Elephas maximus indicus: one gene and its partners. The protein of the gene in region 1 purifies or fractionates together with the protein of each later gene. This does not show direct contact. Links are inferred from orthologs where the notes say so. Each region holds a gene or a part of one and is shown in the gene's direction. Other genes may lie near its edges.

Region 1 (7,240 bases):
ATTATCATGCATGCTTAGGACTCCAAGATTTGCGTTTCAGCTCAGAGCTCTTTCCTCTGAGCTCCAAACGGAACACCCTATTGCTTACTCAATGATTCTCCATGAAAGTCTCAAAGGCATCTTACACCCAACCAACCTCATGATCTTCCCTTTCCTGCACTTTAACGTACAAACCTAGTTCTCTTTCAGGATTCTCTCTATTCCTGAATGGCACCACCATGTATCCACCTGCACAAGCCAAAAGAAGGGGAGTCATCTCTGATATTTCATTTCCCCTTATCACCCCCAAATCCTATTGATTATAACACCTAAAATCTCTCAAATCCATCCATTTTTTTCCATCTCCACTGCATCTACTGTATCCCCAGCCACCATCCTCTGAAATACCACCTTCCATCATCTGAAATATAGCGATGGTGTCAACTGCCCACCCACACGTATTACTTCTGTTCCCTCTGATCCGATCTCTGCACTGTAGCCAAGAGATCTCATAAAGACTGATCATAGTACTCCATTGTTCAAACCCTTTGATGTTTTCCCATTTATTTAGGATAAAAATCCAAATCCTTAATATGGCCTAAAACAATCTGCATCACCTGGCTTTTCCAGCCGTACTTCCTGATACTCACTGCCTGCTTCACTCACTGTAGCATATTGGTCTTTTAAAATTATTCAGAATAAGTCATGCTCACGTGCAGATTAAGGCTTTTACTTATGCTGGTCCCTTGGCCTGGAATATAGCCCTTGTCACTTCCTTAAGCAAATCATCCTCAAACCCTAGACTCTGCGAGTCCCCATTCTCACTCACAGCTCCCCAGACTTATTGTTCTTAATGTTCACTATAATTCAAATAAAGGAATTGTAGTAGTTCTTTCCTGTTTATCTCTCCTGCTTGAATGTAAGCCTACGAGGGCAGGGACCATGTCCATGGGCTCAGCACTATATCACTTGCACCTAGCACAGTGCCTGGCACACAGCAATAAGTCAGTATTTAACACTTATAAGTTAACAGTGCCCCAACCAGGCACCATTCCAAGCTCTTTGCGTGCATTCACTCATTTACTTCTGTAATATTATTATCCCCATTTTACAAATGTTGAACAGGCACAGAGAGGCAAAATAAGTTGCTAAGATCACAAAGTGGAAAATGGGATTTTAACCCAGTGGTTCAGCTCCAAAGCCTGTACTCTTACACAATACATTTCAGTGCCTCAATATTTAAATGCTTATTGAATTTAATTACTCACAAAGAAATTCATAGTTATAGAGCACCTCTAGAGTAATGTTTAACGTATTGAATTATGGAGAAGGAGATGGTTATACTTTGTTGCCATCTCTACTGGAAACTATTTTCTTTTAATCCTTCCCAAACATTTGAAGATAACCTGCCCAAAGGTAAATACTAACTAGTGATTCAAATAGGTTGAAGTAATATTCAAGGCCTTTATACCTTTTTCAAAGCACTCAGCCGCTAACTGAAAGGTCAGCGGTTTGAACCCATCAGTTGCTCCACAGGAGAAAGATGTGGCAGTCTGCTTCAGTAAAGATTTACAGCGTTGGAAACACTATGGGGCAGTTCTACCCTGTCCTCTAGGGTCACTGTGAGTTAGAATTGACTTGATAGCAGTGGGTTTGGCTTTGATTTTATACTCATGAAAATTTGGTAGCTAAAGAAACATGCTTAAGAGTATATGTATTTTTGCTAATACCATAAGAAGTTTTATGTACTGCGCTAATCAGTGAAATAAAACAAAGAGATTGATCATCAGGCCCCATGTATCATGATTTCTAGCTTACATATTAAACAATAGATAACTCAATTACATTGTAAACTGTTGCCTTAATCACTATGGGTTGTCATTTTATTTGGCTTTGGGAAGAGCAAAAACACGCAGCTGGAAAACTCGGCAACTTTCCCCTCTTCCCCCATAGTTTATCTCTACTACTGTCTTAAGATGCTCTCAGCTGTGCTTTCATCTCTATAGTTAACAACAAAAGTAGCACTTGCCAACTATTATAAAGATGTTCTGAGTGGTGTCTAATGACGTATGTAAAGTTCTCTGAACTGCTAGAAGAAAGATATTAATAAATGCCAGAGAACAAACCACTTAAGTAGTGCACTATTTGATGAGGAGTAGAAGGTTCAGGAGGGTGTGGAGTCATTATTAATGCAATGCCGTAAAATAATAACAGGAGAATTACTCCACAGATACTTGCTGTATTGCTAGAATATCAGATATTTAAATTCTTATAGATTTTTAAGACTATGATTATATGATTTTGAAGCGACATTGAGAAGAGAAAAAATACTGATTCCAATGGTGGATGACTTGAAATGGGCAGAGGCTCTTCATGAGGTAGACTGGGAAACTAGGGTGGTCTGACTGAGGTGTCTCACTGAACACGCGGTGGATGGCAAATCATTGTCCCACAAGGGAGTGACTGGAAACTTCTCTGGCATGCTATACCTGCTAGTTGGCTGTGTGTACACCAGGGGTTCCCAAACAGTTCCTGGTAACAGAAGCGTCCATCCAGATGTGGAGGGGGTAGAAGCCATTTCGGCCAATGCTCCCATTCCCTTGGCTAACTAACCAATGGGTGAGAGGTTTCAAGGCAGGCAAAACATTGGAGTTGGTGATGGCTTTTAGTTGTCAGTTTACAGCTAAGTATGTGTGGGACACCACCCTGTGGAGTGATTGTCAACCACATTCTTTTTTTTTTTCTTTAAATCCTCTTTTGATTAACTTTATAAGTTTTGTACCCTCTTTTAATGATAATTGAACTTTTGAAATAGATTTGTGAATAAAAAGATACCAAAGAAAAGAAAAGTTCAGAATATGCCTTTCAAACTATTCAAGGACTCCCATCCTCCCAGGTTCTTCACGGCTGAAGGTATACTCCTGCTGCAGGGCACAATCTTCTGTGAATGAATGCTAGGTTAGCTATTTTCGAGAGCTCTTTGTGGAAGCTCTGATCCCTGGATTGCACATGAAAACTTGGACTTCGTGCCTGTGTTTAGATTTCGGTTCCAATTGTCTCATTTATTTTCTGGACAGACCGGGCTGCTCCTTTGAGTCTTCTGCTTTGTGGTGTTCCCTAGGGATTTAAATCCAAGCTGTACCGTAAAGGTTGGTTTACAGCACATTCTTCGTTTGTTTCATTTGATGTTCCTGTTCCCACCGCTATGGCGATCGTTTGAAAATTGGTCAGCAACTTTGCTGCTTGGATTTTTCTTATTTGGTTCAGTTTACGACCAGCTATTATCAGTGAGTTTGTCGGAACAGACTCGACGGCGCTGGGTACTGGGTATCATCAGTGATGCAGATGGAATTCGTTCCTAACATGTGAACGTGACAACTGTTTTTGGTTTGGGTCTATCATTGATCAAACCTGGGGAGTAGAACTACAGCAACTAAATTCAGCGTTGCAGATTTTGACCTTTATTTCTAGCTTGATACGTGTGCCTTGTCCGATTTCCCCAACGACGCATCTGTTTATTAAATAAGGCGTGTTTCTTCATTGGATTTTGCATCACTGTAGGGAATTCGGAAAGCAGGAGAGGTTGGATCTCCCAATAGAGGTTGATAGCTTTGGAGAACAAACTGATAAATCCTAGCCTGTTTTCTACAGGGTAGATTTTTATATTTCTGCTCAGGGGTCCTTGGTCCAACCATTTTTGTTTTTCCTTTTTAGCGCAGATGAGACGCTGAGAGCCAAAATGCGTGTCAGAGCGCCCCATCCCACTCACCTTAGCCAGACCTCAGTTTCCTTCCCGCCCGCAAGCAGCGGCTACTACAGTTCCCGGCAAGCACCGCGAGAGTGCTGCAAGGGACCAGGCCCACACTTGGGCTCCGCCCCGAAGTGCGGTATGCTGGGAATTGTAGTTCAAGGGCGACTCTCGGCTACGCCTTTTTCCTTACACTAAATTTTTTTAAACCCAGTGCCGTCGAGTCGATCCCGACTCATAGCGACCCTATAGGCCTTCCTAATTGGAAGACGCCGATGCTCTGCTAGAGCGGGCACTCTTGTTTCGTAATTGCGTTAGAGGAATACCCCCTCCTGCCCTGCGGTGCGCGCCGTGTTCCTCCGGGAATCTGAGCCCCGCCCTTGTCCACACCCATTCCCTTGACAGCAGGGCTTGCTCCGAGCGGCGGCCGCGGCGGGAGCGCGCAGGCGCACCAGCACTTTGCCGCGCTAGGCCCAGCGCGGGGCCGCGCACGTAGGCACGCAGCGGCGTCACGTGGGCGCCGAGGATCGCAGTGCGCGCGGCCGTGGCGGCGGGTGTTGGGTTGAGTCAGTTGTGAGACCCAGAGCTGCGGACCCACCCGGCGGCCAGCGGGACGGCCGACAGACCAGCGGGCGGAAGCGAGGTTGGCGCGGTGAGCCTGGCCCAGTCCTCGAGTCGGCCCGCAGCCGGGTGCCCGCCGTCGTTCCCCGCCCCCACCAGCAAACCGCCGCCGCGGGCGCGCCTCCGTCCTGCACTCCTCTCCGATGGCGTCCGCCTCCGGGGCCATGGCGAAACACGAGCAGATCCTGGTTCTCGACCCGCCCACAGACCTCAAATTTAAAGGTAGGCAGGAAGGGGGCGCCGCCGACCCCTGGGGGGCGACGGGGCTCGCCTCCCCGGCGGAGAGCGCCGTGGGTTTTCCTCCGGGGCGGGCTGTGGGCGCTGAGGGAATGTCGGCGGCCCGACCCTCCCCCACGCGCAGGCACTTGTGTTTCCAGGCTCGCTCCGCGCAGCCCTTCCTCCGGCCTCCTCTCCCCTCCCGCCTGACACGCACTCTCGGCGCGCGCGGGCGGGCGGACTGGCGGGGACGCCACCGAGGGCCCGGCCCGGACCTGGCGCCGCCGCCGCCGCCATCTTGGGCCCCGGGAGCGCCTCCGGGCCTTGGGACCGCGGGCCCCCTCGCTGAGCCCGGCGCCCTGGCCTGGACCTCGGCCCCCGGTGGCCGTCTGGCTTCGCTTTGAGGGCGCGGGTGGGTGGTGACCTTAGAGCGTGTGCTCTCGGCTGTGCTTGAAGGCGGGGACCTGGAGGTGGCGCAAGCTGCGTCGCCGAGCGCTTCCGACTGTCAGGGCTGGTGGGAGGCGAGCGGGTGGTACAGCGGCTCCTTGCCCCGGAGCTGGAGGGGAGCCGTCCCGTCCCGGCCGAGGAGGGAGCCGGCTGGGGTCAGCTCTCTCCGCTGAGTTCGTAACTCGGCAGTTCGGTGTATCGAACGCCGAAGGCAGCCCCTGCGGTCCCCTGGTTGTCGCTTACCTGGATAGATTGGCGGGGCCGTAGCGCGGCGAGGAGGAAAGCTCTGCGTCAGTCTGAGGAGTGGTAGTGCTGGGTTAATAGTAGTAGGTCGTCGTCTTCTGAGCTGACACTTCAGTTTGCCATCCGCCTAGGGCGCACTTGATGTTCGTCAGCTGTTGTTTAGCCTGTTAGCTTAGCTCTTTGCTGCGGAATCTTCAGTGTTTGTGACTTTTGTCTTCAGGTTTGCGGTTTCCCAGCAAACCCTGAAAAGGCCGATGAGGGGTCACCCAGCTCTGGAACTTCGTTGACTTATTTTGTAGCAATAACCGTTGCCGTCGGAGTCGATTCCCACTCATAGGGACCCTATAGGACAGAGTAGAACTGCCCCATAGGGTTCCAAGGAGCGGCTGCTGGATTCGAGCTGCCGACCTTTGGGTTAGCAGCCGAGGACTTAACCATTTCGCCACCAGTGCTCCTGTTTTGTAGCAATACCTGTGATAAGTTTATCAGTCTAACTTTGTGATCCTGGAAGAATCTGGTACCGTTTGGCCTGTTCGCTTTTCAGTATGTAGGGTACTTTAGGGACGAGAGTTAAACTGAACAGTTGTTTTTTTTGGGGGGGGGGGTGGGTTACTTCAAGAGTGTGAAGATCCCGAAAAGAAAGTTTCCTTCCTATGTTTAGTTAAATGTGAAGTGAATCTCCTTTTGGAATGGAAGCCAGTCTCCTACATTTCAATTTCAGTAGCTATGGTGAAAACAATTTTCGTGAGATAAGTACCAGTTCCAGTGCTAGAAGACAAAGTTAGATCCTTTATTGCTGTTTAAGATTGAGTCTAAAAGAAAAAATATAGATTGCTTTCTATAGGAAAATTTTAAAATAGTATTAGGAAGTTTTTTTTAAATACCGTACTCTGGAATTGAGAGTAAGGTGCATACCTCTTTTACTTTGCAAGCTTTTTTAGTGCATTTGCAAATTTCTTTGAATGGAATTGTGAGCTGCTTGTTAGGTAAGAATTTAAGACAACTCTTAAGAAATATTTTGAGGTGCAGTGAGTGCATTTTATTGTAGCAAGTTTGTATGTACTGCATGGTTTTACATAGTTTTAGCTGGGAGAAAAATAACCTTTGTGGATCTTGAAATTACCTAATTCAGATAACTGTTGTCTTAAGTTGAAGGAATTTTAGTGAAAACCTTTATGGTCTTCTAGCGTTTTAGTATTCTGCAGTGGCATCACTGGGGGTGTGTGCACCCCACTGGGTGACACTTTCAGAATGAGGTGACACCAAAATGTCTATAAAATTTTTGTGCAGAGTTTCAGCAGAAATTTATTGTTTTCATAAGAGTATCCCTGTAGTTACAACAACAAAAACGTTTTTTTGTAAGCCCAGCTTACGTTTATCAACATACCCTCACGGCCAAGACTCTGTGCTGATTTGCTTTGGAACCTTCCAAGGCCCTCCAGTCAGAGCGGTCGTTGCCCAGTTAGAGTCGTGCTTTGAATCATGTGGTTTCATCTGCACACACTACATGCACAGGCTGTTGTATTCTTCGCTGTTGGTGTATTTATAGTCGCTGATTTCGTCAGATTTTCTGGTGTTGTAGCTACAATATTGTGGTAATTAGCATTTGTGACCCTATATCAATAACTATTTTTTTTTTTTTGGAGAAATAAAGTAATTAAAGGAAAAGAAGGAGTGTTAGACGAGAATTATGGTGTACGAGTAACAGTACAAAAAATGTTATTGAGGATCCTGTATGGTCTGGTACAGGAGGAGGTCCACGAGGAGGTGACATCCTGAGTTACTACACTGGGTGACACCAACCCTAATGATGCCACTGATTGTTTGTTTTTACCTTTTGAGAACGTCAGTTTACAGAGGAAATTTCCTCTACTGGATAACCATGTGTGTATTGCCATTAGGAAATCAGAAACCAGATTTAGTTTAGAAAATGTCAGCAGGGTTCAAAGGTTTCTCCCTATAGAAGTTGTGATGTTGACATCCAGA
Region 2 (7,025 bases), on another chromosome or scaffold:
GATCTTCATCAGTAAGCACTTCCAGTCCTCTTCACTTTCAGCAAGGCTGTGTCATCTGCATAACGCAGGTTGTTAATGAGTCTCCCTCCAATCCTTGAACTGAGGACCTGCCAATCCAGAGAAAAAGGCTTGGGTGGTGGCGTCGGAAGCTGGACCCGTTGCCATGGGAACGAACGAAGGCTTTAGGCAGCCGCATGCGCAAATCGGAGAGAGGTTATTGAACCGGGAAAAGGTGACGTAAAAGCGCACAGGGTGGGGCGCAGGGCTCGGAACGTCAAAGCCCTGAGTCCTTCGGCGTCCGGAGAGGGGGACAGGCGCGCTTGGCGGCGGCGACCGCGGCGACAGCAGACCCAGCCGAACCGAGACTGGGCCGAGGTCCGGGCGGCCCGAAGCTGACGCGCGAAGCAGCGCTAGTAAGGCGCAAGTAAGGCGCCGAGAAGACCCCTCTGCGCGATCCGCGGCGGCCCAAACCCAGATCCAGGTTCCGAGGCCCCGCCCCGGGAACCCTGGGACTAATCGGATTGAGAGCGCGCCGGCCCGGGCCGCGAACTCGCCAATTGTGGAGGGCCTCTGCCGCCACCCAATCCGGAACAGACAGGTGCGAGGTCCGGAAGACAGAGGCCAATCAACAGCGGTTGCGGCCTGCTGGGGCGGGTCTCGGCCAGTGAGGAGGTTTGAATGACATTTCGGCCTGCCAATCGGGAGTGAGAGAGCCTTCGAGCCCGCCCGCCCTTCCGGCCAGCGCTCTATTTACCAGGGGCGTGCAGCCCGCTTGCCAATCAGCGCGCAGCTGAGCGGCCAGCAGCCAACCCCGGAGCAGCGGCCGGCCGGCGTCCGCCCGCACCCGAGAGTCGGGGATGTCCTACAAGCCCATCGCCCCCGCCCCCAGCAGCACCCCCGGCTCCAGTACCCCTGGGCCCGGCACCCCGGTCCCTACAGGTGAGGACCCAGCTCCACCCCTGCTCGCCTCCCCGGGCGCTCGAGGTCTCCAAGAGAAGACGGCCTGAGTTCTGCAATACCGGGCCTGCCGCCTACCCTCCTGGAGCCTCAGTTTCCTGGCCTGCGAAGTGGGCGTGGTGACGTAAGGGCTTGTAGGTGGGGCGCAGGGGGTGGGGTTTGTCCCTGAAGTTGACCAGCCTGGAATGAAGCATCCTTTTGGAGGGAATCGGAAACACTCGGCCCGGGGCTTGGAACGTTGGGAGGAGGCGTCCCTGCCCCGTGCTGACCTCTTCCTCGCGCCCGTTGCAGCCGGAAGCGTCCCGTCGCCGTCGGGCTCGGTGCCGGGAGCCGCTGCCCCTTTCAGGCCACTGTTCAACGACTTTGGACCTCCCTCCATGGGCTATGTGCAGGTGAGTGGGACGGCCAGCTTGCTTAGGGATGAGGGCTGGTAGCCCACCCGGGGCCTGAGCTCACTGCCCTGTTCTCTTTGGCTTAGGCAATGAAGCCACCGGGCGCCCAGGGCTCCCAGAGTACCTACACAGACCTGCTGTCGGTCATTGAGGAGATGGGCAAAGAGATCCGGCCCACCTATGCTGGAAGCAAGAGTGCCATGGAGCGCCTGAAGAGAGGTAAGCAAGCTCAGGCGCACCCTGCCCTGACGCCGAACAACCTCTTAGGGAAGGAAGGCCATCTGGAGGCCACCTGAGTGGAGCCTAGACCTCGAGCCAGTGTCACTATCCAGAGAGGGGTTTTGAATTAAATTTAAATCGAGACCATTTCCAGGGAGGGGACTGGGTGTTGGCATTTTAACAAGGAAAATTTGGGGTTTAGCCAAGCCTCCCATCTCATCCAGTCTCTTACTGAAAGGAGGCGCCCTGGTGGCACAGTGGTTAAGACCTTGGCTGCTAACCAAAGGTTTGCCTCTTTGAATCCACCAGCTGCTCCTTGGAAACCTAATGGGGCAGTTCTACTCTGTCCTATAGGGTTGCTATGAGTCGGAATCAACTCCACGGCAACAGGTTTGGTTTTGTTTTGTTTTTTTTAACTGAGAGGAAGGAGCCCTGGTTGCACAATGGCTAACTATTCTGCTAATAACCAAAAGGCTGGTGGTCCGAACCCACTAAGTTTTTCTGTGGAAGAAAGATCTAGTGATCTGTTTCCATAAAGATCACAACCTAGAACATTTCTTTGAGGCAGTTCTACTGTGTCACATGGGGTCACTATGTGTCAGAATTGACTGGAGGGCGCTCAACAACAATAACTACAGACGGGAAGAGGGTGGAGGGGCAGGATCTTCCTCTGGAGGTTGGGGTGGGCTCTGGAGGGTTGCTGAGACCCCGTATGTTACTCCCCCACCCCTCCCCACCCCAGGCATCATCCATGCACGGGCCCTAGTCAGAGAGTGCCTGGCTGAGACAGAGCGAAACGCCCGCACGTAACAGGAAGCGCCTGCACCTCAGCGTCCGGACCCTTCCAGCCACTGCAGAGCACCAGCTTCTCCCTGGCCTTCACCCCGAGTTGCACTCCCCATCCTGGGCCTCCTGTCCTGTGTCCCTTGGTGGGTGCCCTCCAGGAACCAGGGGCAAATCCCACTCCGATCAGCAGCACTAACTGAGGCCCCGTGCAATAGTTAGCAGCAGGGTCACTATGAGACCCACCCATGACCTACCAATAGTGTTGATCCAGCTGGAACGTTCTCCTTTCTGGGGCCTCCACCACTCAGCACTTATCCAGCACTGCTGACCACTTTGTGTCCCATCCCCTTGTCCCCCAGCAGGTCTCGGAAGGCCTGTCACCTCCCTGCCTTGTTTCCTGGGCCATAGCAACTCTTTTCTCAGTGTGTCTTTTGCTAAATATGCCCTTTTTGTATAAAATAAAGATGATTTGAAGTTGTTCTCTCAGCTTTGAGCCTTTCTGGGTCTGGTTCCTCTGCCAAGCCTGGGTGGGCCAGACAAGGAGGGGAAGGGATGGGGCGGGGAGGTGGAGTGAGATGGGGCAGAGACCGACTGAACCTGGCCTGGCCTTGCTTCTGCTGCCCATTGTCCCTTGGATGGGCCCCAGCTCAGGCTCTTGGCCTTCCAGTTGTAGGTGGTGGAAGGGGTTGCAGGAGTTGAGAGCCCTGCACCCCTTCGTGTGGTGCCACGAGGGGGCAGCACAGGGCCTTGGCTGCCCGTACAGCTAGCGGGCACTGCTGCTAGCCTGGGCCTACAGGGCTCTTCTTTGGATTACAAGTAGTGCCTGGCCGGGTGGCCGGTTCACTTCTGCCATTCCCTCATATGCCTTAATGCCCTAACAACATCCTCCACTCTGAATCTGCCCTGGGAGGCTCTGAGTACACCCCAGCCCCGACTCCTTAGAGGAGAGGGGCACTCTCCACTGCCCAGCACTGTTTTCCTGGCAAACAGGGTCAAGGGGAGAGGACTGGCCTCCAGCCTGGGTGAGACCCAGCTGGGTGCTGCCATCCACTGGCCCAGCACCTTCCAGCGGGGAGGGCGGGGCCCAGTGAGCCCACCTGCTGGCCATCTGCAAGTGTCTTGGCCTTTGCCCAGGGTCTGGTATCTGGGTGGCCGGACTTGTGGACCCGGAAGGTACAGGTGGAGAAGGCCTTGGAGTGCCATTAAGGGGCTGACCCAAGAGTTTGGAGTGGCAGCCTATGCCCCGGTCCTATAGTTGAGCGATCGTAGAGGCCTGGGGCCCTGAGACCCCAACCCCAGGCAGAGGCAAGTCAGAGTCCCCAGCTTCTGGCAGGACTTGAGGGAGGCACTTCCCCTGCCCTGAGTCACAGGTTCCTGGGGCTGCAGAGGGTGAGGGGCTTCCTGTAGGGATGGTGCAACGCCACAGCAAACTCCGCCACTTCATTGTACACTGGAGGGCTGGGCCGGGGTGGCCTGGAAAGCAGGAGTACCTTGGCGGCCCCAAGCAGCACCCAGGAAGTAAGTGCCAGCGTTTGGCGGAGGGCCTCTCCTTGCTGCCTGCTAGTAGGGAAGGAAGGGGCCAGCCCTCCGACGTCGTGGGGAGGGCCAGCGGGCCCAGGAAGGGGGTGGGGCGGCAGCAGTGACGCGGCGGGCAGCGGGGAGGTGACTGCAGGGACGCCGGCAGGCGGACCGAAGGAAGGTCGGAGCCATGGGCCCGCGCTGCTCCTCCGGGGAGGCCGGCCACTGCTGGAACCCGAGGCCGGGGCGGGGGGCGCTCCGGGCTCCGACCCACGGCCCGGCCGCCTCCGCCCGGGTCGGGTGAGGGGCGCCGCTCCCCAGCTAGAGGTGAGCTGGGACGTCAGCGGGCGGGCCAGGAGCTCAGTGAGGGACGGGGACGCCGGGGAGCACAGGGAAGTGGAGACAGCGGGGCCTCCAGCCTGTTCGCTGGGTGCGAGATGGGGAGTGGCGGGGGTGGGGGGAAGTGCCTGCAGCTGAACCGCCGCGCCGGCCGGGGAGCAGGTGGGGGGAGCGGCCCCCAGATTCCGGGGCCGCTGGGATACCCAGTGGTGCCACTCTGCCTTAGCCTGAGGAGGGGTCACGCCCTGAGTGGATAGTGGGGCGGCCCGTAGACGAGTGGAGAGGCGACGGGGCCGGGGGTCCAGGAAGGATACTGGGGAGGGGAAGTTGAGGCCCGGGCTGCCGGCCAGGCGGGGAGGGCAGGTGGGGACCAAGGGGCGGTCTGACCCTGGAGGTAGGGGCAGATGGGGCTAGGGACCCCGGCAGGGATGCTGACGGGTGGGACGCGCAGGTCTGTCCTCGGAGAGACGCCCGAGGAGACAGGGCTCTAAGAGGATGTCCGAGTGGGGGACCCCGGAACCCCACCGACCCGGGAAAGGGTTCGGGGGGCGGGCCGCCAGGGAAGGTGGGTCCAGAGGACCGGCCAGGGCACCCGGGGCTAGGTTCCCAGGATGCTGCAGAGAGGGGCTCCAGCCGCGGTCACGGCTGAAGGGGCGGGGCTTCCTGGCGCCCGCGGGTCCGCGACGCCGCTCCGGGGGGCCCGCGTCAGCGCACGGTTGTCATGGTGACGGCGGGCGGCGGTGGGGGGGCTGCGAGGAAACGAGGTCAGCGCTCTGCGGGCTGCGCCCTCGGCCCCCGGCGGTCCGGCTCGCCCCGCCTCCCCGCGGCCGGCATGGGGTCCGGCGGCCCGAGCCCCCCGGGACGCGCGCAGGGCTCGTGGCCGCGCGCCGCCCCGCACTGACGGCGGTGCCTACGCCAGGCGGAGCGGAGGCCGTGGGCCCAGCGCTGAAGATGCTCATCAAGGAGTACCACATCCTACTGCCCATGAGCCTGGACGAGTACCAGGTGGCCCAGCTCTACATGATCCAGGTGAGGGCAGGCGAGGGGACAAGGGGCCTGCGGCATGACGGGGACAGCGACGGGAGCGCGCAGGCTTGGCACTATCCAGGCGCCGCACCCTGAACGCAGCCAGTCCTGCCCCGGCTGAAAGGGCTCAGACAGAGCCCAGGGAGCAGAGAAGCCCCTCTTCCACGTGGGGTAAGGGCTGTGGGAAAGGGGCAGAAGAGCCAGTGGCGCCTCCCTGCCCCCCACGTGCCCAGCCCAGGTTGGACGCTCAGCCCACGCATGAGCTCTTTTAATCCTCCTCGGAGTCGGTAATCCTGTGGGGGAAGGGGAAGGAGCTGAGGAGGAGGCAACAGTGAGAGGTGGGGGGAGAGGGGGCCAGGGTCCTGGCAGCTGCAAGAGGTCAGGGACACGGGATGAGAGTCAGGCCCCAAAGCTGTGGGGAGGGAAGGGGAAGGCAGGGGCCCCAAAGGGTGAGGGAGCGGTCTGGGCTAAGAGGAAGGGGGCTGGGGCAGGCCTCAGAGAGGCCAAGGCGCTGAGGTCTGTTCTCCAGAACTGTAGGATTGGAGCCTGAGGAGGCAAGAGGGCCCAGATGGGCCTCAGGCAGTTGAGTGGGGGCAAGTCCTGACTCCAGAGATGTAACTGGGAAGGGCCTGGGGTTCTCCAGCTACTAGGGGTATGGTAGGAGCTGGGAGGAAGGGAATCAGGGTCAGGTCCTCAGAGAAGTGGAGTTGGTTAATCGCCTTGATTCTTCCATTCCAGCCCTCTCTAGCCTCCTTGCTGCTACTTGAGCCTGCCCGACACCCTCCCACCTCACGGCCTAGCAGGGGCTTCTTTCTCCTTTGCCTCCAGTACTCAATACCACTCTGGTCCCCCAGCCTGCAGACGTTTTGATGTCTGCATGGCTCACTCCCTTACCTTCTTCAAGTGTTGGGTCATGTTTCTTCTCAACCAGGTCTCCCCTGACCATCATATTAAAACTGCAGTCCTCAATCCTTGAGCCCCCTTTCTTTGTTCCACAGCGCGCACCACTGTTTAACATACCGTAAACCAAACCCGCTGCCATCGAGTTGATTCCGACTTACAGCAACCCTATAGGACAGAGTAGAACTGCCCCATAGGGTTTCTGAAGCTCTAATCTTCACAGAAGCAGACTGCCCTATCTTTCTCCCACAGAGCTGCTGGTCAGTTCAAACTGCTGGCCTTTCAGTTTAGCAGCCAAGCGCTTTACCTCTGTGCCACCAGTGCTTCTTAACACACCATATAATCTGCTTTTATGTTGTCTCTCTCGCTCCACTTGGATGTAAGTTCCGCCAGGGCATGGATGTTTGTTCTGTTTGATATATCCCAGTCAATATAATCCCAAACAATTCCTGGCACAGAGTAGGCACTCAATAAATGTTTGAATGACCGAATAAGTCCCCACGGGGGACTGGGCAGAGGCTGTTGTGATCCTGATCCCAGGGAGCTGAAGGGGCCAGGGCCAGGTTTCAGGGAGTTAAGAGGGCTGGGATTGGGGCTCCAGAGCTGTGCGGGGGGCCAGTCTGAGTTGGGGGTGCCACAGGATGAGTTGGGAAGGGCTTCACTCCTGGGTTGAGATCCCTGTTCTGCTGTGCCCTGGGCTGCAGAAAAAGAGCCGGGAGGAGTCGAGTGGCGAGGGCAGTGGCGTGGAGATCCTGGCCAACCAGCCCTACACGGATGGGCCGGGCGGCAGCGGGCAGTACACACACAAGGTGTACCACGTGGGCTCCCACATCCCAGGCTGGTTCCGGGCACTGCTGCCGAAAGCTGCCCTACAGGTGGAGGAGGAAT
Region 3 (7,354 bases), on another chromosome or scaffold:
TAATTTTTTAGCAAGGAGCCCTTTGTTTCATTTTGTACTGGACCCCACAAATTATATTGCTGGGTCTGCCCATAATGATGGAGTCCTGGTGGCGCAGTGGTTGAGATTGGCTGCTGACCAAAAGGTTGGCAGTTCAAATCCACCAGCCGCTCCTTGGAAACCCTGTGGGGCAGTTCTGATCTGTCCTATGGGGTCGCTATGAGTTGGAATCAGCTCGACAGCGGTGGAGTTTTTTTGTTTGTTTGTTTTGGTCCATAACGTTACATCTCCAAGACTGTTCACTTTTGTCTCTACTGCCTGGTCCCCAGGTTGGCTGCTGTAGCCTCCCAGCTTGTTTCCCTCCCATCACGTCTGCACATATAGCCAGAATCATCTATTCAGACTGTAAGTCTGACATGGCACTCACCTGCTAAAGACCTTGCTTCCCCAAACTCTTAACTGGCCCAGCAAGCCCTGTGTGGTCTAGTCCCCACTGCCAACCTATACCACCTTTGCCTTGCTCACTGCCCACACCAAGTAGCTTCCTGATGCCTCAGGACCTCTGCTGGAAACATCTGGTAAACACCTCCCGGTACCTGTCACATTCAAAATTTTACAGTCGTTTGTGTGATTGATTCTCTGTTTGCTTCATTAGATTGTAAACTTCTGAGGACAGAGACCATACTTTTTGCTCGGTAAATCCCTGTTGCTCAGGAATCATTGTTAACATCCATCAACTATTGCATGCTAAGGCCCAGGATGTGTTTCCCCTAGGCCGATGCCCCCAATCCATCCCTCATTCCTGAGACCGATGCCGTGGGTGTGACCGTGGTCCTCATCACCTGCACCTACCATGGGCAGGAGTTCATCCGCGTGGGCTACTACGTCAACAACGAGTACCCCAACCCTGAGCTGCGGGAGAACCCACCACTGAAGCCAGACTTTTCTCAGGTAGGGGCTGTCTCTGCACTTTCCTGCTTCAACCAGGTGGCCCCTTCACACTGGGGGAGTTGAGTCATTAGAATTGGGAGCCCGGGTTTTCAGTCATGCTCGATTCTTGCAGAGCCAGGCTAGGAAAGAAAGGGTCTTTGTTTCCAGAGACATGCCTCGGAGCTGAGAGTAGGTAGTGCTAAGCGGTAGCACAGGGCCTTCCCCTGAAGTTCCGTATATGGTTGGTGAACTAAGCAGGGCCTGTTCTTCCTGGGCTTGGGGTGGCAGCTGGGGTTGCCCTGGCTCTGGGGGAGTAACAGGGGGCACGTGACAAGACTTGATGCTCCTTTTCCTGCCCCAGCTCCAGCGGAACATCTTGGCTTCCAACCCCCGGGTGACCCGCTTTCACATCAACTGGGACAACAACACAGACAGGTTGGAGGCCATCGACAACCAGGACCTTTCACTGAGCAGCGGCCTCCCCCTCAGCTGCACTCCTGTCAAGGGCCTGGGCCTTCCTGGCTGCATCCCTGGCCTGCTCCCTGAGAATTCCATGGACTGCATCTAACTTTGGGAGCTCAGGCCCTGGCTGGGCTCAGCCAGGACCCAGACCAGTTTCCTGGCACACCTGGAGGAGGCACCTGGGCCTCCTGGAGAGTCATGTGGGACATCTGGAGAACTTTGGGGCTGTCACCTACATCGAATCAGACTGGGCCCCATGGAAAGAACAGGCCCTGGGTCTTTCCCAGCCCTGGCCCAGAAGGATCATCTCACATCTACTCCACAGGCCTGTAAGAAGGAGGTACTTAGTTCTTCATTCTTTCTGACTATCCCCTTTCACTGTTCCACACACACTATAAATTCACCTGGAGGCCATTGTGCTCCCTTGAGTACCACTGACCCAAAGCTGCTTCCCACAGACCTCCTGGGCCTGCCTGAGGCTTTCTTGGTCAGTGCCTGGCGAGGCTCCAGCCCTTTTGGATCAAAGGCTCTGCCATTCCTTCCCCTTCCCAAACATCTGAACAGAGCCCCCAGCTTTCTGGAGTCACAGGCAAGGAATCCTGGTTCGGATGTGGACTCAGATACAATGTCTGTCCTCCCCAGATTTTTGGTTCTTCCCAACCCAGCAGCCTCTAGAAAACGCAGCTCCTAAAGGTGTGACCAGCAGGTGCCTCTCTTCTCAGTCACAGCCACCTTCCTGTTACCTCTTAACTGGACCTGGCATTCTCTAGAGACTTCAGTGGTGGGGAGGTCGCATGTTGGAAGGGTCTGCTGTGCTCTGTTTTGGCGTTGGCATCAAGCCCCTCTACCTCTGCCAGCCTTGACCTGTCCTCTGCCAAGACTGCACACACTCATGGGCCACAGGTGAGTGTGGGCAAGGGAAGCTGTCAGGATCCTGAAAATCTTCCCTCCCCGGAATGCTCTCCACCTCTGCCCTATCCCCTCGCTGCTACATGGATGCTGTTGTGATTGCAGTTTGTATATTAAAGGGTTTTTATATTAAAAATGTTTGGTTGCGCTAAAAATAAAAAGCACTTCATTGAGGCTGTTTCTGCTTCTGTCTCAGGCGAGCAGGGACAGCTCCATCCATCCTATCCTCCTAATGGTGGGGTTGGCCTCTTCCTCCACTCAGTGAGTTGGGTGTCCCTTGCCCCCTTGCTTGACTTCTTACTCCAGTTCTAGCTGGTTGTATAGTTGTATTCCAGACTAAGTTTTGGGGAGAGTGTCAAATCTGGAGATAGAGATGAACAGTGATTTCAGACTTTGACCCTGGCCCACAAGAAGAAATTAACTTTTACATTGTGATCCAAGTATATACACAAAGCCACACTTGATTAAATCCAACTTAACCTTACTATGTAACTCCACAGCCTGCACTAGTATTTGGCTGGCCAGCCTTTTTCCCGTATTTCAGAGAAGCCCAAACTCTCCCTCCCTGGGGCTGGTGGTCAGCCTGAGAGGAGACGTGCAGACAACTGTGTGCAGTTAGCCCAAGTCCATAAGCAGAGCAATGAGTCAGCTTGTGGACTTGAGACTGGACTAGTCCCTCCAAAGTAGGGGAGCTGGCTGGTCCAGCCCCCAGCCTCTCTTGGCACCTCATGTGGGGGCCTTCCTCCACTTCAGTGGTTCTCAACTCAATTTCTGGAGACTTTGGCTGTAAGCAGTGGGGGCAGGAGGGAGGAAGTATGTGCTTCTGGTACCTCGTGGGTAGAAGCCAGACAGCCCCCCGCCCCCACACCAAGCATCCAGCCCCAAATGTCAGTCGGGTAGCATTGGTAAACCCAGCTCTACTGTCATCCTCAGGCTGTGATATATTAAAAGGGCACCCTAAAGAAGGACATCTTGCCCCTTCTATCCTCCGGGAGGGTAGGTTCCCTTTGCATTCTCCAGACAAAAGGAATGCAGAGTGGTGATTACCAGCAGGGAATCTGAATCCAGGAGGCCTGGCTGTGCCCCCGATTCCTTGGCTGTACAATGGGGATAATAGTGCCTACATGATAGGAATGTTGTGCGAAGTAATAAGGTGAACCAGTGCCAACTCTCTGCTGGTACGAGCCCAGGGTGGGCGCCCAGCAAAGGGTGGACACTGCGTGCCCCTCTCAGCCGCCCCCTTGCTCCCGGAGCCCAGCATCCTTCTGATGCTTGGGCTGTGGCTGGAGGCGACCCCGGGCGGCCTGGCCGCTGCTGCCCAACACCAGCCCTTATGAATGACGGTGGCCGGCGGCCCGGCGACCTCTGACCCTCGGCGCCGGCCGCGCCCCTCCCCCCGGGTAGGTGGACAGCGGCTGCGCCGGCGGCCCGCGGCGCCAAACTTGGCTGGCCGGCGCCCGCTGCCGCACTGGGCAGGGGCGGGGGACTGCGGCGCGCACGGGGCCGTCCGGTGCCTCCGGGCCGCCTCGTGGGCTTCCGAGCGCGGTGCGGCCTCCGACCAAGCTTGGCCGCCCCGCCTGCCGCTCGGGCCTGGACAGCGGACTGAGCCTCCGCCCCGCCCTCTCACCCCGGGATTGACACTTGAGGTTCTGCAGGAGGCCTGCCGGACCGCTCGCCTCCGCCAATCGGCGCCCGCCCTGGGCGGGCCCCGGGCCCTGTCGCGCGCCTCAGCCAATTAGGCTCGTCTGCCCGCCCAGCTAGGGCCTCGCGACCGCGCGACTGGCGGAGCATCCTCGGAGCGCGTCAGGGGGTCGAGAGCCTATGGCGGCGCGGAAGGGTCGTGGCGGGCCAATAGACAGCGGCGCGGCGCCGTCAGTCAGGGTGGCGCTGGCCAATGGGCGGTGGGCTGCGGGGGCGTCACGGACAGCAGCAGCGGACTTGGGCTGAGGTTCCCGGGCGGGCGGGCGCGGAGGGACGCGGGAAGCAGGGGCTGGGCGGGGGTCGCGGCGCCGCAGCCAGCGCAGCCAGCCCAAGGGGCCGCCGCCGCCGCCGCCCAGCGCGCTCCGGGGCCGCCGGCCGCCGCCAGCACCCCCCGCGCCGCAGCTCCGGGACTGGCCCGGGCCGCCGCCGCCGCGATGGGCAACGCCGCCGCCGCCAAGAAGGGCAGCGAGCAGGAGAGCGGTGAGTGCCCGGGCCGTGACCCCGATCGCGGCCCCGCTCTGCCAGCCCCCTCCTTGTCCATCACCGCGTGGCCCCTCCCCCACGCACCCCCCCCATTCTTCGCTCCTTCTCCCCAGCGCCCCTGCCTGTCCAAGGCTGGGGCCCGAAGGCCCGCAGGAGACCTCCCATAGGGGCACCCCTGCCAAAGGCCGCCCCCGACTGCAAAGGCAGTGCCCCCCCACCCAGCTGTCACTGCCAACCATGGCACGTATGACCGCTGGGGCCCCACATGGAGCCCTGTCACCACCCCCTCTCTTCCTGGCCCATCTCCCCAAATTCTAATCCCCCCACTTTCTCACTCACCACTCACAGAGATGGGACGCACTGCTAGACCCCGACTCAGAGTTGGCAGTCTGGGAGTGCTGTGGGGTCTGCTTCCACCCCAGAGGGACCTTGGCCACTTGGTGACCACACCCCTCCCCCCCTCCAGCCCCCGCCATCTTTCTCCTGCCCTTTCCCTTTTCACCTTATCCCAGCCCCCTGCCATCCTTGAGCATTTCCCCTGAAGCCACCTCCAGCATTGTTTTTCTCTTCTGTGTCACTTGGCATGGGGGACAGGATCTTTCTGGGTCCCTCTGCCCCTCTCTTGTTCTGTCACTCTCTGCCACTCTGCTCCCTCCTCCAAGTAAGCGCCTGCCCCTGGCTGGGAGAGCAGGCTGTTTATGAAGCTAGGGAACTGCTTCAGTGCTTCCAAAGACAAATTTGAGCCAGTCTTCCTGGGATTCATTGCATCCTCTTTTGCAGGGGGTGGGGTGGGAGTGGGGGCAGCTGCAGAGCCCCTTCCGCTTTCCTGCTGGGCAGCCTAGCTCCAGGCTCTTGGAGGGGGCCCCTCAATAAATGGTTGTTTCACAACTAAGGCTCCGTCATTCACCAGGTCCCCTGGGCTGCTTCACCCGCTCCTGGCGCTGGATGAAAAGTGGGGGGGCGAAGAGTGCCTGGCTTTAGCAAGGGCTCATTCGGCTTGAGCTGGGCTGGTGAGAAAGGGGATGGGGCAGTTGGGGAGAGTAGTGGGTGACATCTAGTGCCTTGTTTTGCCAACGGACAGACAGATTCTGGTCATTCCCAAGGCCCAGCCACAGGCTTGTTTCTTTCCCTCCCACCCTCACATTGTGCTGGCCTTTTCAAGCCAGAGAGAGAGATTCCACATCTGGAACTGCTTTCAGAAATGGCCTCGAGCCCCCTCCCCAGTTCCTCCAGCTCCTCAATTGTCACTCAGGCCTAAAGCTAGACCCCACCTGAGAGTCCCTTCCAGTTACCCAGAAATAGAGCTGAGAAGGGAGCTCGTGTCCAACTACGCTGTCCCTAGTTCCTGGTCTCAAACAACAGCGTGAGTTCCCTGAATGCCCCCTCCCAGAAAGACCTGGGCCTGCAAACCAGGGAACTTTATTCCTACAAATAGCAGAACTCAGAGGAACCAGGCGTCCACGGGGAGGCCTGACATGTCACCGATGGGCGGGGGACAGGGAGGCAAGTGCCTGTAGTTGAGCGCTTGATGACAGAGGAGCAGGTGGGTAGTGTCCAAAAAAGGTCTGGGCCTGAGCATGGAGGGGACTGGGAAGAGGGGGAGGGGCCAGCTCTCAGCAGGTGAGGCTGCTGGGAGGTGGCAGGTGGAGGCAGGCAGCTATATATTGCAGTGGCTCAGTTGAAAGTTGGGAAGATGACATAGTCCCGGAAAACCTTCAGAGTGTACCAAGCACGTGCGGCGGGGAGGTGGGAAGCCACAAGGGGAAAAGGATCCCCAAAAGGCTCCGGAAGGAACTGCTAATTCTCTCAGAGCACAGACCAAAAGACACCCAGGAATGGACTGTCACAAGGAAATAGAGCCACTGTGTATTGGGCATCTAGTGTGTGCCAGGTTAAACAGCCTCCATCGATCTGCTCAGGTGATACTCATAATGGGCTATTAGCCGAATTTTCCAAATGGACTTGCTCAGTTTGACGTAGGTGACGTCACAGGGGCAGGATTCACATCCAGATCCGCCTGGATCCCATAAGTGCACAACTCAGACATTCTCAACTCGCCTCCCTGATTTTTGCTTTAGTCACTTAAACTTTCTTAATTTAAAATAATAAAAACAACTCACTTTTCTTCAGACGTAAACTTTGACCCCATCTTGAGCAGTAATGTAAATGAAGTCATGGCATTGCTGGGCCAGATATATTTTCCCTGACACAAATTAAAATACATATGTAATTAGAAAAATGAAACATCGCGTACTCCACATTCAGCCAGTGGGACCAGTGTCACACTTTGGGAAACAGTCTAAGCTGTACTTCCTCCCCGAGCCTTGCAGGGGCTTCTAGAGAAGGAGATAGGATGGGGAAAGAGGCCCCTCTTTGCTTGGAAGCTCTGAAACTGAGAGGATGGAGTTACACTAAATTTGTCCTCTTCTAACCAGGGCGGGGCAGGGGCAGTAGCCAGGCAAGCCTGCAGGGGGCACCTGAATTTCATCTGCCACACGCCAGCCCGACTGTAAGGAAAATGCCCAAGCCTCACTAGGTACCAGTTAAGTATCCTGCAGCCCCCTACACCCTCATCTCCATGCCAGGGCAGGACAGAACAAGGTCTGCCTCTCCGGAGATCCAGAATGAGCCATGGGGTGGGGGTGGGGAATCTGCACCCAAAGATGCTAAACCATTGGCAGGGGCCAGGAGGGCAGAGAAAAATGACCGAAGTCTCAGGCTCTGGCCAGGCTGGAGGAATTGAGATAGGGCAGCAACCTCTGGGCTGGTGCTGGCAGAGGACACCCCTGGGAGTTGGCCACAGGGGAAGGAGCAGAGCTAGCGAGAAGCCCCCCAGATACTCCCCAAGCCTCCGAGAGAAACCAGTACAGGCACTGAAAGTGAAAAAAAT
Region 4 (7,021 bases), on another chromosome or scaffold:
AACATCCAGCCTTTTGGTTAGCAGCCAACTGCTTAATCACTGTGCCACCAGGGCTCCTTTCTCAATTGATTATTCTTCTCCATATCACTGGAGAGGAGGCCTGCGTGTGTCCTCGCCTGGATGATGAGGGTCAGGGTACAGTGATGTGAGTGTGACCTGAGACACTTGACCACCAATTCTCAATCCTAATTCCTCCTACCCAGACTCAAATCTGATGAGTTCATTGGGAAATGGTTAGAAAAGGTTAGATTTTATGATAATTCAGTTTTGTAATCAAGGTAATTGATGCTGGTTAAAAGTAGAATACTTTTTCCCTTTAAAATAATTTGTATAAGTTGTATCTTCCATTTCTACCTTCATGGACTTCATCTTCAAGTATTTGGCAAAAGCAATGCTAATAAGTCACTTTGAGGTACAGGGACATCTGGCCTTGAAAAGAAAAGTGTTTCAATATAGGTTTTTAGAAGGGTGAGTGACTGCTTTCCATGCTGGTAAATATCTTAAGTAGAAGCCCTATGGCTGTAAGTTAGATATAAGAAAGAAGTTCCCTAAAATAAAATATTCTTACACTTGTTAAAAAAAAAGACCATTGCCATCAAGTCGATTCCAACTTATAGCAACCCTATAGGACAGAGTAGAACTGCCCCATAGGGTTTCCGAGGCCGTAATCTTTACAGAAGCAGACTGCCACGTCATTCTCCCACATAGTGGCTGGTGGGTTTGAACTGTTGACTTTTTGGTTAGTAGCTGAGTGCTTAACCACTATTCCAATATTAAAAAGAAAAACCTAATCTGTCCTGGATACTATACATTCTACCTGTAACCCATTGCCATCGAGTCGATTCCGACTCATAGCGACCCTATAGGACAGAGTAGAACTGCCCCATAGAGTTTCCAAGGAGCATCTGGTGGATTCGAACGGCCAACTTTTAGGTTAGCAGCTGTAGCACTTAACCACTACACAATCAGGGTTTCCCTGTATGTTCTGCTTGAAGGAAAGGGAAGTACTGAGTTAGGACCTGGAAGAAAACCCAGTCCAAACTGGACTAAGCAAAAAGGGACTTTATTGGCTCAGAGAGCTGGGAATCACAGGAGGTAGCCTCAGGCATAGCTAGATCCAGGAGCATGATGTCCCTAGGACCTGGTCTCTGTCTCTCTTTTATGGGCTGGCTTCATTCTTAGGGGAAGTCTCAGTCTCTCTCAACAGCTCCAGGAAAAGTCTCAGTTGGTTTCTTGGTCCAAAGGGATGGTCCAGAGATGGAGTCAGCTCCAAAAAAGCAAATCAACTGAAAGGAGGGGAAGAGAGATCATTCTCCTAAAGAAAAACTGCTGTCGAGACTGTTCTATTCCCACAAATCCCCTTTTCCCACTCACCAGGAATCCAGGGTCTTCCTCAGGGGCCCACTCTTGCTGGATCAAGCTCAAGGGGGGTGGTTATTTAAATGGCCCAAGGAAACCCAAGCGCAGGAAGAGTAATAGCAGCTCATGAAACAGGGGCCTGCAGCCGCCCTGCCCAGGTGCTCTGTACAATGGTCTCTTTAACTTCTCAAGACTCAACATGACCATCAGACCCAGGTCTACCTGAGAGACCCAAGGGCTCCAAGACCCTCTGTCTCACTTAGGCTCTGGGTTTTTTGTTTTTGTTTTGGTGAAAATATACACAGCAGGACATCCATCAGTTTCTACATGTACAGTTCAATAACATTGGTTATATTCTTCACATTGCGTCACCATTCTTGTTATCTCTACCCGTACTGTTTCACCACCACTAACTTTAGACTCTATTGCATAAACTTCTCATCTTTGCTTTAGAGCCACTGTTGACGATTTGATCTCATATACATAATTCTTTAAAAGAGCACAATGCTCATGTAGAACATTCTTTACTAATTTAGCTATGTAAAGATGTCTTCAGGGGACAATTTCAGTTCATGGTTTGAAGATTTTCTTAGAGTGATAGATTTGGGGGTTGTTCCAGTCTCAATAGGTCCAGTAAGTCTGGATTCTGTAAGAATTTAAAATTCTGTTCCACATTTTCCCCCTTTTGATCAGGATTCATCTATTGATTCCATGATCAAAACATTCAGTAATGGTAGCCAAGCACTATCCAGTTCTGATCTCATGGCTAAGGGGCAGTAGTTCATGGAGGCAGTTAGATCTGCAATCCAGCTCCTTCTCTGATTCCTGGGTCTCTTTCCTTTGCTGCTCCTGGCAGATACAGACCAATTGTTGTATCTTGGATGGCTGCAGTACTCACTGAACTAGGGAGTAGAACAGCAACTCTAAAAACATAATTAGGCCAAATGACTAGAGAGTCCCACAAGGCTCTGGGTTTTTTAGTTAAATTTGCAAGAGAGGAACTGATTGGCTGGGTTTGGGTCAGATGCCTACCCTCAGCTCCATCAGTTGTGGGGGAGGGGCTGAAGGGGATGGAGGTTATTACCTGGTGTAAAAGACTGCCTTCACCTCCTCCCTCCTTCGGGCTGTGGTGGGGAGGAGTCAATGAGTCACAATTCTAGTAAAGTTGAGATTCCAACAGTAGAGCATCCGCTCCTAGCCCGTGTGCGCGAAGCCACCTGGTTTTGCCCTGCCTCTCTGAGGCCCTTTCCTCCCAAACTCTGCCTCACTGCACGGGGTAGGTGACTCAGTGTCTTTCTCCGCCCTCCCCTCTCCTCTCAGAGAGTGAACTGCTGCCTTCGTGTGAGCCCTGTCTACATTCTCTGGGCTGCCCTTTATGAGTTCTCTTCTTCCTCAACACCCTGCCACTTCTAACCCGAGTTGCCAGTTGCCACTTTTCCATTTAATCTGCTGCCTGCTCCAGTTGCCTACTCCTTTCGCTTGTTCCGCAGCTGGCTCTGTAGCCCAACACCTTCCGCCTTCGGGGACGTTTGTTGGCCTAAGCGCATGGCCCGCAGACTCTGCATTCAGCGTGAATCCGTTAATTCTCGAAGCCTGCTCCCGGTAGGCCTCCCGCAGGACGCCGGGGACACTCGGTGGTGAACTAGATGAGCAGCTTGAGTCATCACGCGTTCACAGCTTAGCGAGGACAGCGATGGCCCCACCACACACATGAACCGAGAGCCGCGGTGCAGGGCCAGGCCCGGGGCTGTAAGCGGGCTGCCCGCGATGCGCTCGACTGGCAGGCCGGAATCACCGTTTACTTCGGCGCGTGGTGATACCCAGCTGGGGACGTTCTTGCAAAACGCAACGTTTTTTACTTCTCGGAAAAGGCTTGCGAGCAGCTTTGCTATAGCGGAAAAGTGCTAATTTGCAGTGCAAATTCGGCGCAGAGGGGAGTTTTCTCCGTGATCGTTCCTACTAGCGCAAGGCTCTGCCAATCCCGCGCCTTGTGCAAGCGGGACCCAGACGCCGGAAGCATTGTGTCAGCAGCGCAGAGGAGCAACAGTCCGGGCCGCTACTCTGTATCCACGCCACCTCCGGTTCCCAGTTCCCCAGCCCCGCCTACAACTGTCTCCAGGGGCTCGCAGCCGGCTGTAATACCCCGTGGCCTGAGAGCCACCTCGCCCACCCAGGCTAGGCCCTGTTTCAGCACCATCCGCTACATCAACTCCCGGTGGTCTCCCAGCCCCGAGGCCGAGAGGGAGGCCCAGTAGCCTGAGAATCTTGTATTAGCGCGGGGTCCCCTCGGCACCGTTCAGCTAACCAGACCCCCCTCCCCGAACGCTTCTACCCTGACGGAGGTTCCAGCAATGACTAGCCCTTGCGGGGCCGCCAGGCGTGTCCCTGCGCAGGCACAGATCCGTGCGCACGTCAGTCCCACCCCTCGCTGTCGCCCCGTGCTCGTGCGCACGCAGGCACTCCCCCTCACACACACACGCACACGACCGCGAGCACACTCGGCCGCTCAGGGCGCTTAAGAGCCTAGAAGGGTCAGCGCGCCTGGTGCGAACCGGAGTGGCCCGGAGCAGGGCCCTGGGCGGTGTCCGGGGCGGGCCCTGGGCGGAGCTCGCCCGACTGGGAGCGCAGGGCGGGGGCGGGTCCGCGCCGCCGCCGTCCGCGCTGCCTCCGCCCCCGGTCCGCCGCTCGCTGGGTTCGTCTGCGCCGCAGCCCCCGCCGTAGTCACCACTGAACCCGCTGCTGCCGCCTCTGAGGTAGGCGCAGTGGGAAGGGCAGTCTCTGCCTGCGCCCCATGCCGCCGACCGGGCCCCTGGGTAGCTGAGAGGGAGGACGTGGGAGGAGGAGCGGGCGAGGGCGAGGGGCCCCCGAGCCCGGCCTGAGGGAGGGAGAGGGAGCGGTCCGCTCGGGCCTGGCGGGTCAGCCGCGGACGGAGCAGGCCGCACGGGCGGGTGCCGAGTGGGCCCGGGCGGGGAGCGGGAGGCCGGGGATCCAGAGGCGCCTGCGGCTAGGAACGAAAGCCGCCCGGACATGCGGGCGGAAGGGCACGGGCAGCCGCGTGGAGCCCCGGCCAGCAGCGGGTCTAGGTGACCTTCCTTGACGCCCTCTGGCCCACGATTCTGACAGCCCTGCTCGGGCTGGGGCACGCCCGCCGCCGCCCACGCTGCCCGGGCCAGACCCGCGGCCCTGTGCGGGCCACACTGCCGCCGCAGGGATGAGCCGCAGGTGGTGACTGCGGCCCCGCGCCCCGCACGCTCTGCCCAGTCCACGCCCGAAGGAGCTGCCACCCGGCAGTACGCGCGGGCCAGCGCCTCCCCGGGCGGAACGGGTGCCGGAGAGTCGATTTAGGCCTCAGGGGCTGGACTCGGGTTTAGGCCTCAGAAGAGGAGGCTGTGCGGGGATCGTTGTGGCCCCTGAGGCCTTAGAAGGGATTTCTGGTTCGGTCACTCATTCATTCACCGAACACGGCTGTGTGCATGCAGGGAACTAGGAGCTCGACTTTGGGTTTGAGGCCCGCAGCATAAGTGAGTTGTGCAAGGTCACACAACTGGGAAGAAACCAAGCCTAAGTCTTCTTATCTGTAAAATGGGAGCAGCTATACCTCTCCTTCTTGGGGATTTTGGGAAGAATAAAGTGAGATGATTAAGTTGTAAAACCTTCAGAACCTTGCCAGACTCCAAGAAGGCCTCGGTAAAAACCATGAAACTTAACCAGCTTCAGACTTTTGGGGAAGATCAAGTCCATCCTCCTCAGAGCGCTTTCCTCCACGTGGTGTTCTCCAAAGGGCTCAGAAAATGTAGTCCCTGTTATTTTAAACATTATGGAGGTATTATTAATAACCGTTTGTGTGCAAAGCATTGAGTAACTTTAAGGATAATTCACAAAAAATCTTGTAAGTTTACAGACTGATAAAGTCAGGCTGGGGCAGGAAGTTTGAATGCAGGGGGAGACCCGGCTGCACCCCATGGCCCCATCTTCTTGACCAGCCTCCCCTCTCCAGAGAGGATAGGGAAATGGGCTCTTCCTTTGCCAAGATTTCTGCTCTTTCCTAGGCCAGGGCTGACTCCCCAGGGCCTGCCTTCTTTCTCTCCACTCCAGCTCTGGTCTGACTGAGCTCCTGGGGGGGTCAGGCTTCGACCTGGTGCAGCCTTGTTCTTAGGGCCTGCAGTGGCACCTGGCAGACAGTAGGTGCTTGAGAAGGATCTGTGGGGGTAAGTGCACTATTGCTTTTTTTTCTAAGAGTTGACTCACTGTTATTGACAAAAGGTTAGTTTTATTATTCAGGCATCTGGCACATAGTAGGTGCTCAGGTGTGGAATGATTGAATGGGCATAGGTAGTGACTGCAGGCCCAGACCATAGTCCCGGATCTTGGACATCGTTTTTTGGGCGACACACATCTCACTCACTTCCAGAAAATGGCCTCACTTAGCAGAGTCTCAAAGATTTAAAGATCTACAATGGTATGTACATACAGCCTTGGAGCCGTGAGAGGCAAAAATCACAGTGAAACCTGTGAGAGCCAGAACTGCCATGTTTTTCCAGGTCTCACAAGTTTTCTGCCTTTGACAGGGTATAGGCTTAACACCTTTCTATTGCTCATTTTAGTGGAAAATATTTGCATTTTTCTTTTTTGATAGGTTTCTGCCTTACACAAGTTCCAGCTTTCGCAGGTTTTACTGTATTTCCTATTTTGAAATAACTGCTTGAAGTGCATTATCTTCATTCTGTGACTGTCCAAGTCCAGAAACTTGTTGAACTGGTGTTTCTGGGCTTGAGAGGAGGGTGACATGGGTGAATTGGGATTCTCTGAAAGGCCTTGAACTGGCATCCCTCCCTCTGTAGTGGTGCGTGAGTGGGTGGGTTGATGGCTTCTGCTGGAGGTGCCCTGGGTGAAGCCTATGCCTGACCCCACTGGGAGAGGGAGCTGTTCTCAGTTGATTATTTAGTTTTATCTCTGCAGTTCTAGAATGGGAGTTAGGGTGGGGAGCCATTTATAGACATATTTTACAGATCAGAAACCTGGAGCTCAGGACTTGGGGACCATATGGTGAGGAGGTGCCCGTGGGCCTTTGGTCTGCTGGACACTGGGCAGATGTGGATGAGGAGCTCCAGGCTGGTGGCGATGAAGGCGCTAACCGCTCATTCAGTGCTGCAGAGGCACTGAAGTCCACTTTACCCTTGATGGAATATCCCATGGTATAATGCGTCAGAATCGGCTTGACGGCAACCAACAACAACAAAGTCTTTGTTGATAGTGACTGGGAGGGGAATATCTATGCTGAGAGCCTTCCATAGCCCAACCTCCGACAGTCCTTCTGGGTGCCCACAGGGTCTATGGTCCATGGCCTTTGGTTCCCCAGAGATTCCTGTGGTAGCTGCCAAGGAAAGGTGACCAGTGAGATACTGAGCCTGGCACAGTCAGGGGGGGTGTGTGTAGGGATGAATAGGATTCTAAGCCCTTTACCTAGAATAGGGCTGGGAAGAGACCTGGAAAGCAGTCTGGGCTCAGAACACAGGTGACATGAGCTGTAGGGTCTAATACAAGTCAAGCCACTTTCTGGTGCCTCACTTTCCCAGTATAAATGTGTGATCATCATCATCTTAGCAATTCTTTATTAAGGGCCTGATCAGCACCGTCCTGGGGGCTTGGCATGTGTTCGGTG

What was found.
Region 2: the proteins of VAPA (region 1) and PITPNM1 purify together in Homo sapiens (co-immunoprecipitation; 4 studies listed by BioGRID and IntAct, counting the BioPlex papers as one, with this or other methods). This does not show direct contact. The link is inferred for Elephas maximus indicus from reciprocal best matches to the Homo sapiens genes VAPA and PITPNM1.
Region 3: the proteins of VAPA (region 1) and PRKACA purify together in Homo sapiens (affinity purification with mass spectrometry; 4 studies listed by BioGRID and IntAct, with this or other methods). This does not show direct contact. The link is inferred for Elephas maximus indicus from reciprocal best matches to the Homo sapiens genes VAPA and PRKACA.
Region 4: the proteins of VAPA (region 1) and VDAC1 fractionate together in Homo sapiens (co-fractionation; 3 studies listed by BioGRID and IntAct, with this or other methods). This does not show direct contact. The link is inferred for Elephas maximus indicus from reciprocal best matches to the Homo sapiens genes VAPA and VDAC1.

Annotation. Positions count from the first base shown.
Region 1 is NC_064829.1:13,045,866-13,053,105, reverse strand, and holds the start of VAPA (vesicle-associated membrane protein-associated protein A), read left to right. Parts: upstream 1-4,224; 5' UTR 4,225-4,491; coding exon 4,492-4,570; intron 4,571-7,240. UniProt on the Homo sapiens protein: Endoplasmic reticulum (ER)-anchored protein that mediates the formation of contact sites between the ER and endosomes via interaction with FFAT motif-containing proteins such as STARD3 or WDR44.
Region 2 is NC_064825.1:130,535,865-130,542,889, reverse strand, and holds the start of PITPNM1 (membrane-associated phosphatidylinositol transfer protein 1), read left to right. Parts: upstream 1-4,014; 5' UTR 4,015-4,199; intron 4,200-5,130; 5' UTR 5,131-5,162; coding exon 5,163-5,240; intron 5,241-6,841; coding exon 6,842-7,025. Other genes in the region: CDK2AP2 (cyclin-dependent kinase 2-associated protein 2), read left to right, coding at 1,143-1,349, 1,436-1,568, 2,311-2,378. UniProt on the Homo sapiens protein: Catalyzes the transfer of phosphatidylinositol (PI) between membranes. Binds PI, phosphatidylcholine (PC) and phosphatidic acid (PA) with the binding affinity order of PI > PA > PC. Regulates RHOA activity, and plays a role in cytoskeleton remodeling.
Region 3 is NC_064821.1:32,762,636-32,769,989, reverse strand, and holds the start of PRKACA (cAMP-dependent protein kinase catalytic subunit alpha), read left to right. Parts: upstream 1-4,349; 5' UTR 4,350-4,415; coding exon 4,416-4,461; intron 4,462-7,354. Other genes in the region: histone chaperone ASF1B, read left to right, coding at 754-930, 1,271-1,477.
Region 4 is NC_064820.1:146,391,135-146,398,155, reverse strand, and holds the start of VDAC1 (voltage-dependent anion-selective channel protein 1), read left to right. Parts: upstream 1-4,003; 5' UTR 4,004-4,112; intron 4,113-7,021. UniProt on the Homo sapiens protein: Non-selective voltage-gated ion channel that mediates the transport of anions and cations through the mitochondrion outer membrane and plasma membrane.